3 linked regions of the Bombyx mori genome follow. The protein of the gene in region 3 purifies or fractionates together with the protein of the main gene of each other region. This does not show direct contact. Links are inferred from orthologs where the notes say so. Each region holds a gene or a part of one and is shown on either strand. Other genes may lie near its edges.

Region 1 (3,210 bases), on a different chromosome or scaffold from region 3:
CATTAAAACTTTAAGGAAACCTTTAGAAAATACGATTCGACTCGAAACTATGTAATGGCATCAATTATTTGAAGGAATCTTGTCGTACCTTTTTTTTTTTTCGATATTAGATAGGTACGACCCCTTGTCTTCTCGTACGTGTCATGAAAGAAACTTAGGGTTACATCGGGGAAGGAAGGGACGCCTTCTCATGAGCGTGCCGCGATCATCAATACGCAATATGTGGGTAGGCACCACTATCCTGCCCATGTCTACCGCGAAACAAAAATGGGCTATCATTTCAAGGGCGGCGACACGTCAATGGCCTCCGGGGATTATTGGATAGGCCTTGAGTTCATTGACCCGCTTTTTTTTTTTGGTCAGGAGGAAATCGCCGGACTTCCGCCCTCCCCTGGGGATGGAGGGCGGGGCATGTCGGAGTCGAACTGACTAAAACCTCCTGTCGCTCAACAACCAAAGTCCAAACCTCGTATGAGATAGAACTCATGAAAAGGCAAAGGGGGGAAGTGAAGCGTTTAGTGCGGAGCACATCTCTCCCATCACCCTCCCCCTTCATTGACCCCCTAATGCATTAAAAAAAACACTATTGATTATAATGATTTATTAATAAAACTACACAACAATATCTATTCGTCCCAGCCCCACAAGCCGTGGCTCTCCCTGATGGTCTCGGAGTTGTCCCTCCGGCTCCTGGTGACGGCGCTGGCCTCTCCCTTCGCTACGGCCTTCTTCCTCTCCATCTTCTTTTGTCGCTGTTCCAGATTCTTCTTCACCTGCAGTTTGACGACAGCCGGGGCTATCGTGCTGGCGGACGTGTCGGATCTCATCGACCTCACATCGGACAACGCCTTCTCAATCATCGCCAGTCGATACTTCTGCGAGTTCTTATTCAATTCTCCTACTTTATCAGTGTCTTCTGTGCACGTGACTTCTTCAGCCTCCTCCTCCGCTTTAACGAGAGTCGGTACTTCTTCTGCTTCGGATTTGTTCTCTTCCGTAATATGGAGTGTGACGGTCTTTGTAGTAAGGTTGTCGATGACGTCGTTGCGTTTGTCGTTCTGTATTGAAATGTCCACCTGCAAATGTATTTATTATTATTGATTCACACTACCTTAAAACGCCACTACGATCATAAGATACCGACGCTTGAAAGGCAAACGTGACTAAGCGACAATAACTGCTTTGTACATAAATGATAGGCAATAGGCATATTTGATGCGCAAAAAATATATATTTCTAGATCTATTAAAATAATTTCAATTCTACAGCTAGATTCGTTAAGATAGACTTTTTTTCAGGTATTTCAACTTTAAATTAGTCTACTGTAAAGTTCACGCATTGTCGCTTAGTCACGTTTGCCTTTTAAGCGTCGATACATAAACTTTGCATTCTAATATTTCCTTTAACAAATGCTTTATCAATTCCTAAGAATATTTTACTTCATAAATTTATTTATGTAAGCGACATCTATTGCAAGAGTTTCAGAGGTACAAGTGCGCCAAACTCTGTTAGCAACAACTATAGTACCTCAGGTATTTACGAGATGGCGTTATAATATATTTTTTTTTGTAACGTCCCTTTTTTTTAGAAAGATTTCGCCAATGCTTTAAACAATACCAAACCTTTGGACCCGTTTCAAAGATTCACAAGAATATGTGTGTCGCATAGTTCATTTAAAAAAAAAAAGTATTCTCATCTGTAACGCGTATTTATCACAGAACACAAAATATTTGACTGATGCGAGAATCACTATAACGACAATTTTTATAACTTTGCATACGTACAAGTTCCGAACAACTTTGGCATCGACTCTACCGAGCAAGTACACCCGGTAGTCAAGTTTTTTTTTAATTGCTTAGATGTGTGGACTAGCTCACAGTCCACCCGGTGTTAAGTGGTTACTGGAGCCCATAGACATCTACAACGTAAATGCGCCACACACCTTGAGATATAAGTTCTAAGGTCTCAGTATAGTTACAACGGCTGCGCCACCTTTCAAACGGAAACGCATTACTGCTTCACGGCAGAAATAGGCAGGGCGGTGGTACCTACCCGCGCGGACTCACACGAGGTCCTACCACCAGTAAGTTCATCCCTTTGTCGTATTACCCCGAAACATCGTTCGTTTAGGAATAATATCTGCATAGATTATTGTGTAGCACGGCACGGCGGTCGCGCACGCACCTGCTGCCTGAGGGCCGCTAGTTCCTCGTCAGTATAGGCGGGGCTCCTCTCGTCTACCGCGTCTGCAAACTCCTCGTCCGACTCATCGTCGTCGCTCTCTTCCAGACCAATACCCATTTCCTGAAATATATTGAATGTTTCATTTTTAATTATCCAAAATATGTTTTTACTTACAAATTTTTGATTTTTAAAAATATGCATTTTTATTTAAAATTTCATCTTCATTTATATAATTCGTCTGTCCGTGTAAATGTCAGTGAATTCCACCTAAGCGGCTTGTCAGATTTCATGAATTTTTATGTGTGTATTCCAATGAATTCGAGATAAGTTTAGATTCACAATTCAGGCCAGTAAAATGTTTTCTCACTATGTTTCTCATAATAATATGTTGGCTCACTATAACGTTTTTTATGCTAACCAAATTTGTTCTAAAATAAAGCATTATTTTTGAACTATTCCACGCGGACGATGTCAAAAGCTAGTGTAAAGATATAATTCGTGGAAGGCGCGAGTCACCCGCATGAGCCGGTCGTCCAGGTCCTCGGCGCGGCGGTACCCCGAGCAGGCCACGGCGGCGTCCAGGCGCTCGGCGCGGCGCAGGTCCCGCAGCGCCGGGTACAGCGAGCTCTCGAACCCGAACCGGCGCTTGAAGAACTCGCGCACGCACCGGACGTCGCGCTCGAAGTACCTGCACCCACAGACACGACACGTCATCACACACACACATACACTAAATCAAAGGCATCACACACAAACTAATGATTCCATGGGGGCAGTAGCGGATTAAAGGTCCAGAGCGCCCCCAGGCAATCACTTTATCGGCGCCCCTGTACCGGCCATAAATGGCCATCATAATATTGCACATAAACCGCAACCCGCAACATTGCATAATACGAGTATATCGATGTTTGTGCAATATAATCTATTATAGATTTAGATTATAGATCAGCATTTAGTTCTTAATCGTCGATGTTATTATCTTTATTTATTTAAAAATTCTGAGCTCGAGCCCCCCTTGTAAATACA
Region 2 (4,358 bases), on a different chromosome or scaffold from region 3:
ATGATTGTTGATTAATTATATTCTTTAAATAATAATAGCAATAATTAACTAATGCATTAGAAGTTTATATCGGTAATGTTAATGTTTTTTTTAGAATGAAATTTAAGTATTAAGTAGTTCCACATTTATCTACATTGCAATTTTTGGTTTCTTATTGGCAAAGATGAAACCATTACCTTCAGTACTAGCATTATTGCAATCTATTGGGATGCCACTGTCAAATTTGTAAGATCATTCAAAGTAAAAAAAAAGTCAGTTGTCAAGAAACTGTTCCCAGATATGAAACATTGATCTTCTTGGTACATATATGGCACCTTTAGAGTTGCAAGGCTTAATACAAAAGTCTTATTTTTTTATATAAGAAAGATACCACAGAGTTGTAATTTTTCAGTTTTTATTTTAATACTTTAAGCCGTAAAGTGCATACCTTAAAGTTTTTTTATCATTGCTCTCGTGGGTGGACGAGCTCACAGCCCACCTGGTGTTAAGTGGTTACTGGAGCCCATAGACATCTACGACGTAAATGCGCCACCCACCTTGAAATATAAGTTCTAAGGTCTCAACTATAGTTACAACGGCTGCCCCACCCTTCAAACCGAAACACATTACTGCTTCACGGCAGAAATGGGCAGGATAGTGGTTTAAGGTATGCATTGGATTTAAAAGAGTTGGAAAGTATTCTTTGAACTTATTTAACTTTAATTTTTAATTAACAAAATGTGATTTTATGCATTCAGGATACATGTTTATAAGTACACAGATCAAAGTATAAAACTCATTTTCTTAACATTTTTAGTTAAGCTACTTCAATTCTAAAGGTATACTGATCTATTATTGGTACTGTTCATAGTCCCTTGTTCCATATCTCTTAATAATAACAAAAATTACCTTTACAAAATCAGCAGCTTTCTGTAAATTTGCAATATCTTTTGTTTCTGGTCCGACTTTTATCTCAACATTCCTCGTTTTCGTGTTAAACCTTACTTGTAGCAATAAGTGTTCAACAATCGGAGTAAATATCTTCAGCCAGCTTTCCTTAAGTGGTGTATATCTTAAAACAAAATTCATACTATTATTATATGTCTTTCATGGGTGAATGAGCTCATGTCCTACCTCGTGTGACACACCCACCTACCCCCCTTGAGACTTGAGGTATTAGTCTCAATTGGATAATAGTTGTGCAAATAGAAAAATTTCATTGCAGTTTCGTGCAGCTTTCTTCAGTACAGTAGACTGGGGGAAATAGGGACTAGAGGTAGAATAGGGACAAATCTGGGATGTCACAGTACTTTTTTTGAGTTGTTAGATTTAACTTGGTTAAACTGAAAATTACTTTTATTTAGTGTTTAAGAATATTACATAGTTTAAGTTAGTCATCAAAATTTTGTAACTCATTAAAGATATAAAAAGTGAATTACCTAAAGTTAGGCATCTACCTAACAACTAAATAGTGCCAGCCCTATTGAAAAAGTCTATCATACATAACCTGATTCACCCCAAAGCCAAGGTGAATAAGATCAAGCTAGTTTTTTCAGTTTTTGTGTATATTTTGTAATGAACTATGTATAATAATAATAGATTGTATATAAAAATTTAAGCCTCCAGAACCATTTTAATCTCAATTTTATTAGTATTACCCTAAGAAAAACCATTGAAAATTTCAATCTACGATCATTGAATATATTCAGTATTACTTATTACATTATTACTCAATGTTATTCTCTCTCTGTAGAAGTCACTGAAGAAGATGAGTACATATTTTATTAGACTTAGAACCTACTCTTTTTTTTCCTCAAGTTAATGAACTCCGGTAGGCTCAAGAAGTTATTTTGGTTTCATCCTAACTAGTAGGAGCTTAAAGGTCTCAGCCTAAGAGAAGTTACTAGCACCTACTCTAGGAAGAGCAGCAGTGCTTTACTGAATCTACCACTGGACCTGAATCGTGACCCACTGAGAATATCGAGTGAAAAACTCAGAAGTTATCTCCCTGGGTTAGGTGGCATGTCTCGTCATTTTCAATGAACTCAACAAGAACATGACAGATTGAACTCTGACACATGATTAAATCAAAGTGGTTCAATCATTAAATGGTACAATTATTATTCTTTTTGGCCTTATGACAATTGTTCGTGTGTTCATTTACGAAGTTTTGTAGGTTAATTTACCTGTGAGCTGGGACCGCAACTTTTCGCATTGCAACTTTACTCTCATTAGGGTCTGAACTTTTTTTATGTTTTTTTCGGTTCCTTCTAGGCTTCTTTGGATTGCTTTCCCCAATTGTGGGCTCTTCAACCTCCATACCATCTCCGGTGTCATCTGTAGCTTTGCGCTTTATATTTTTAAGCTTCATCGTCTTTTTAGCTGGCAAAAAATCATCAACACTTATGTTCTCCGTTTCCATTTTGTGAGAAGGTTCGTCGCTTAGGTGAAATTTAATGGTAATTAAATATCAGTTGAGATTATATTTTATTACAAAATAAAACAATCACATGTTTCACGTGTTGGAAAACAAAAAGAATGTGCTGTTGACTTTGACACCGTTGACGTTAACATAGTAGTAGTAGTTTTATTTTTCCAACTGGAAAGGCAAAGGCATTATACCATACTGCCTAATCTTTTATATATACATATATTATTAAATATATAAAAAATGATACGAAATGAAATGAAGTTAATTAATGTGAACCGTGGCATGATATGGGATGAAATATAATCTCAGTAAAATGGTGGTCATTTACTGACACTTTTTCAGTGGACTTTTTGGAGGATCCCGAAAAGTTACGTCTAGCGGCTTTGTTTTATTTTTCCACATTTGTACACTTTCACAGATAAATAATAATAATAAGCCCATTTTATTTCCAAAAACAAAGAAAGATAAAACACCTTATCAAATAAAAAATTGTGTTAGTGGAACCCCATTTGGGTATAAGCCTCCTCCAGCTTACTGCACTCTTCCTATTCTTGGCTTTATTTCTCCATTCTTTTCCAGTTGCTGCTATTATTTCGTCGATCCATCTGCCCCTTGGTCGGCCTCTTCTTCTTTTGCCCACTGGTCCTTCCCATGTTGTGGTTTCTAATGTCCATCTTTTATGCGTATATCTCGCAAGGTGTCCTGCCCAACGCCTATACTCTCCATATTTGGTAATTTCAGTTTGACTCTAAGAGCTATAATCTATGTTTAAGTGCATAATCCGAGCGAAAAGCGTTCAAAAATATATTATAGCAAAAAAGGGTTTTTGAACTATTACTAAATGTGTAATAAGTTTCGATCGGCATAAATAAATATATATTTTTTTTAAATCCTTAGGTACTTAAAAATAATTTTAACGTTTATTAAAAGTTGGGAGAATTCAACGCTGCTATTGCAAAAAAACTTTATCTAACTCATAGATTATACACTTATTATGAACATTATGACCTAACTGTTTCAGAACGTATTAAAATGGTTATGTCACAAATCTTCTAGCTGCGATTTGTTGTTATGTATTGATTTGAGGTGAGAAAAAGTGATTTATTTAAGATAAACACTTCAATTTATGATTCAAATACCTAATCATTCGAAATTATTTAATATTTCACAGTTTCACAATTCATAAGGTACATTAGCCACAATGGCTACTCTCGTCAGAACAGCTGTAATTAAAGTTATCAGCCCAACTCAGGGTACAAAAATAGCAGCATGTACGTTTGTACAAAATAGGAATATCTCCGGGCGGGCCATGCGGGAAGCGCTACCACCTCCTCCACCGAAACCTGCACCCTTTGACTATGTGAACAAGGACTACACTTGGTTGCGCAGCTTAATCGACCGCACGACCCACAGGTTTGATGATAACAGCAAAGTGATAATCGTGGAAGGGCCGGTAGCTGCTGGTAAGACCGCCTTTGCAGCCTCCCTAGCCGATGACTTGGGTATGAAGCATTTCCCCGAAGCTAACATGGATTTGCACTATATTCGTCCGAACGGCGTCGACTTGAGGTCCTTCGACGACCAAGTACCCGAGGACACTAGGACCTTTGACCATGTTAATTTCAATCAGAATCCTAACCATCGCTTGGCTGCAAACTTCCAAATAATGATGTATGTGGCCCGGTACAGTCAGTATATTGATGCTTTGGCACACCTGTTCAATACTGGCCAAGGAATTGTGTTGGAGAGGTCCCCTTACTCTGACTTTGTATTCTTGGAAGCTATGTATTCTCAGAAATTCTTGAGTAAGGCAGTCAGGTCAACTTACTATGAGCTGCGAGAAAACACAATTGAGGAGCTAATGCGTCCACATCTAGTTATTTATCTGGATCTTCCTGTTTCCAAGGTTTGTAATCACTACTTTTACTGGTGGTAGGACCTCTTGAGT
Region 3 (4,151 bases):
ATTAAGGGATCATTTATCTTATAAGGCTTTGCACTTTTTTATACGTACACGCGAGGCATATTTAAAAATAGAAAACAATACGTAACTGATTTGCCAAACAATAAAATAACACTGCATTGATAATTTTGAATAAAAGTTCTAGACAAAAACATCATGAATAAACCAGATTCTTACCAACATTTAAAAAATATTGTTATAACTACATAGACAACCCTACACGCCTGTACCTATTTATACTTAGGTCGTTCCCATTTAACTTATTCTCATCCCAATTGCCCATCTCGTTGTTATTTGTACCTCAGACGTCCCCAAAAACAACAGATTTTTACATGTTTTTTTATATTATCAAAAAACATTAAAACCAATAACAGTTGAGACTTACTTTTAATACAATATGATGGTTCAAACACTAAATAACGTTTATAAATCACAGTTGTCTTTTATTATTATCAAATAAATAAAAGAGAGTAAAGTCTAGCACTAAAATAATTACCACAACAAGAAGAATAAGATAGCAGCTATTATCATGCATATTCAGAGTTGTTTTGTGAACTTTTATTACACTACAAAAAATGGAAGATTTTGCAACGATTAAAAAACTAATATTGAGCGTCGAAAGATTTTCCTGCTTTTCCCCATTCACCTCTCAAACCCCAATAACCCCATTTTTCGGTATATCAAATTTCAAGTTAATCCGACGTTTTGAAGGGGGTCAAAATCATGTTCAAAGATTCCGTTACAAACTATCTTTTATTAGCTTCAGACGTATGTAACGTCTGAAGCTAATAAAAGCGTATTAAAAAAAAGGGGTGCGTGTACTTATGTACGCGCGTAAGAAGTTATACTTTATTTTTATGATTATTATTTTATTTTATTAATAGCTACGTCAGTCGTATTGTAGTGAGCGATTTAGTGAGCAACTTCATTCTGTTAATTTTGTGTCACGGTGCGCGCGCCTAAAGAAGTATAACTTCAAAAAACGTATGTATGAATTTTTTATTTGGCTACAGCGTGTATTATTAGGTTTTTTTAGGTATAGTAATTTATAGATGATCATAGTATCTCTGTAGGTATTTTGGACGCCCGCCATTATTTTCTAACTTTATGGTTAGTTTTTTGTCTTTTATGCTTTAAATTTAAATCATAGTTTTTCAAAATTTTCAGTAATGTAAAACTTTCAATATAAAGCCGTGGATTTTATATAATCCTCAGTAAAATTAGTGACAAACAAAAGATTAGGCTGTCTAGGCTATGTAGGTTGTATAGGCTATGTTCCCTTAACTCGAAGACATTGACAATGTCATTACAGCTGCAAAAATTTATGACATTTTCTAACTAAAAAAACAACAGCACATGGTAAATCTTTGATAACGTTTACAATTTATGTTCCGCAGGAACGGTTTTTGTATGTAGTATTAAGAAAACTGTGGTGTTTGTTAAAAGTTTCCTTACTGACCATTTAGTTGAAACTAATATGGGTAAAGTTAAAAAGTTGAAGCCCTCACAAGTGGGAAAAAATTTAGCTCTTGCTGATCAAATTGAATCTGGAAATTCAGTCAAAATTAAAAATAGGACCAAAGATAGAAATAGGCACGATGAAGACGATGAGGTAAATTATGCATACTACTTTAAATTATTTCTGTAATCTATTTAAGTATAATGTTTTATTTATTTATTTTGTTATTGCTTAGATTGTTGGACATGTCACTGCCCGCCTGGTGTTAAGTGGTTACCGGAGCCCATAGACACAACGTAAATGCCGCCACTCACCTTGAGACATGAGCTTTAAGGTCTCACTTTTAACAGTACAAAGGCTGCCCTGCCCTTCAATCAAAACGCATTACTGCTTCACGGCAGAAATAGGCCGGGTGGTAATGTAGGCATTAGGAATCAAAAATAGGCAGATGGCAGATTCTTCTTCTTCTTCTTCTCCATCGCTCCCTCATTGCTGAGGATCGTGACTCCGTTTTAGCTTGTCTACTGTTAGCCTCCATCGGTTCCGGTCAGTTGCCTGGTGTAGTGCAGCGCTAAGTGGTCCGCTGGTTTGCTCGGAGATCTGGTTGGACCAACGTTTGGGGCTCCGGCCTCTAGGACGTTTTCCTTCTACTTTCCCAGTGACCATCAGACGTTCCAAGTTGTCTACACCTCTGCGGGCAACGTGCAGATGGCAGATAATGTCCACAATAATCGATTTTATATATTTTTTCAGTTTGTAAAAGCAGATTTGTCTAAAAAAATTTTAAAAACTGCTAGAAGGCAACAAGCTGAACTAGAAGACAATGAGATTGGTCCGTCTCCAGCAAAACATGTCACTCTTGTGTCAAGCTTTAAAGGTAAAACATTCTTTTTTTTTATGTTGATAGAATTACTGGTGGCCTGGAGGCCTTTCCAGTTTCACCAGGACAGGTGGGTGAGCAAAGGCTCAACCAGGAGGGGTGGGATTTGCTAACAGCTGCCCAAGCCCCTCCAAAGGAGACCTAACAACTCAAGAGCAACTGCTTCGCGAATGAATCTACAACCGGATTGGAATCGCGACCCGCTGAGAAGATCCGGCGAGAAACTCAGCAGGCTGATGCATGGCTTAGGTTGGACGTCGACTTCTTTGTTGAATTTGACGAGTACAGTTACCAGGGTCGCTTAGCCTGTTCCTAGTGTTAGAGCTGAAGGCATCTAATGCTAAGGTTATTGGATCTGATGGATCCGTAAGGACGTGTGTAAAACATTCTATGACAGTGTACATGTACAGTAGAAGTAAACAAATAGTGAACAGTCATTTTTGTTATAATGCAATTAATTTCTCAAATGTACCTTGTGAATGAACTGAAATTATTTTCAACTGCAATTTAGATTTGATAGTTAGTAATTCCACTTGTTGAAAAATAACTAAAGATATTATTTGTTAGATAAAGGATCAGATAGTTCAGATTCAGAGAAGGATGACTTGGAACCTGACACATACTATGATAACATTGAAATCAACGAAGCAGATGAAGAAGCACTCAAATTGTTCAAATCATCTAAAACAGAAAGAGTTAGAACTCTAGCTGATATTATAAAAGAAAAAATTACTGACAAACACACAGAACTACAGACTCAGTTCTCAGATGCAGAAACTTTAAAATTGCAGAATATTGATCCAAGGTAAGTGAGATTGATAAAATTTTTGATCAAAATGAAGTATTACAATCTTTGTATATAAATTTTGAATTTCAGAATAAAAACCATGTATGAGGGCGTAAGGGATGTACTCCAGAAATATAGATCAGGCAAATTACCGAAAGCTTTCAAAATGGTGCCACATTTGCAGAATTGGGAGCAAATTTTATACTTAACAGAGCCTACTACTTGGTCAGCAGCTGCTATGTATCAGGTTAACAATAAGAAAATACTAATAACAATAAATTTAGTAGTTGAATAATACTTAAATGTCTGGCGTTAATGAATGATATTCGGAAAATCATAGCTTTAATCAGAATTGAAGGCTTTATTTAATGTTATCACATTATTCATTATGATTATTGGTTTGCAGGCAACTAGAATTTTTGCATCAAATCTTAAGGAGAAGATGGCTCAGAGGTTTTATAATTTAGTTTTACTACCACGTGTCAGAGATGACCTTGCTGAATACAAAAGGTTGAATTTCCACTTGTACCAAGCATTGAGGAAGGCCTTGTTCAAACCTGGTGCTTTTATGAAGGGAATTTTACTACCGTTATGTGAGGTAAGATGCCAAGTTTGGGATTAAAATTAATATAAAAGTGATGTGTTTTGTACAACACACTGTAAAGGAGTGAGTCACAATCAAAATTTTAAACAAATAACTTTTATTTTTATTCTCTTGTCTTCTCATCTCAATCACATAGTTAGGCCCAAGCCAAACAACCATTGATAGGAAGGTATGCTTGGTATTTGTTGAGTAATTTTTTCTGTTATTTTTAATGGTCCTATTATGTGATTCATATTGCATTTGATTGTTGTTCATTTTGAAGAAATTTCCTGACTTATCCGCAATTGTTTAGGTTTGCTGCCTTTTGTGATAGGTAGTAGGATCATTATGTTAATTGATTGATAAAGCTGTAATTTGATATCACTCCTGTTGTTGCCAATCCTGTGGAAACTAATGTTACTCTTTGGATAAGCCAGAAATGCTT

The links.
Region 1: the proteins of bystin (region 3) and serine/threonine-protein kinase RIO2 purify together in Homo sapiens (affinity purification with mass spectrometry; 3 studies listed by BioGRID and IntAct, with this or other methods). This does not show direct contact. The link is inferred for Bombyx mori from reciprocal best matches to the Homo sapiens genes BYSL and RIOK2.
Region 2: the proteins of bystin (region 3) and RNA-binding protein pno1 fractionate together in Homo sapiens (co-fractionation; 4 studies listed by BioGRID and IntAct, with this or other methods). This does not show direct contact. The link is inferred for Bombyx mori from reciprocal best matches to the Homo sapiens genes BYSL and PNO1.

The regions. Positions count from the first base shown.
Region 1 is NC_085127.1:1,634,637-1,637,846, reverse strand, and holds the end of serine/threonine-protein kinase RIO2, read right to left. Parts: intron 2,873-3,210; coding exon 2,701-2,872; intron 2,305-2,700; coding exon 2,185-2,304; intron 1,077-2,184; coding exon 627-1,076; 3' UTR 587-626; downstream 1-586. UniProt on the Homo sapiens protein: Serine/threonine-protein kinase involved in the final steps of cytoplasmic maturation of the 40S ribosomal subunit. Involved in export of the 40S pre-ribosome particles (pre-40S) from the nucleus to the cytoplasm.
Region 2 is NC_085126.1:8,647,632-8,651,989, reverse strand, and holds the start of RNA-binding protein pno1, read right to left. Parts: upstream 2,835-4,358; 5' UTR 2,402-2,834; coding exon 2,166-2,401; intron 1,052-2,165; coding exon 889-1,051; intron 1-888. Other genes in the region: NADH dehydrogenase [ubiquinone] 1 alpha subcomplex subunit 10, mitochondrial, read left to right, coding at 3,612-4,316. UniProt on the Homo sapiens protein: Part of the small subunit (SSU) processome, first precursor of the small eukaryotic ribosomal subunit.
Region 3 is NC_085121.1:8,924,464-8,928,614, forward strand, and holds the start of bystin, read left to right. Parts: upstream 1-1,298; 5' UTR 1,299-1,474; coding exon 1,475-1,609; intron 1,610-2,209; coding exon 2,210-2,333; intron 2,334-2,903; coding exon 2,904-3,141; intron 3,142-3,213; coding exon 3,214-3,370; intron 3,371-3,529; coding exon 3,530-3,721; intron 3,722-4,151. UniProt on the Homo sapiens protein: Required for processing of 20S pre-rRNA precursor and biogenesis of 40S ribosomal subunits. May be required for trophinin-dependent regulation of cell adhesion during implantation of human embryos.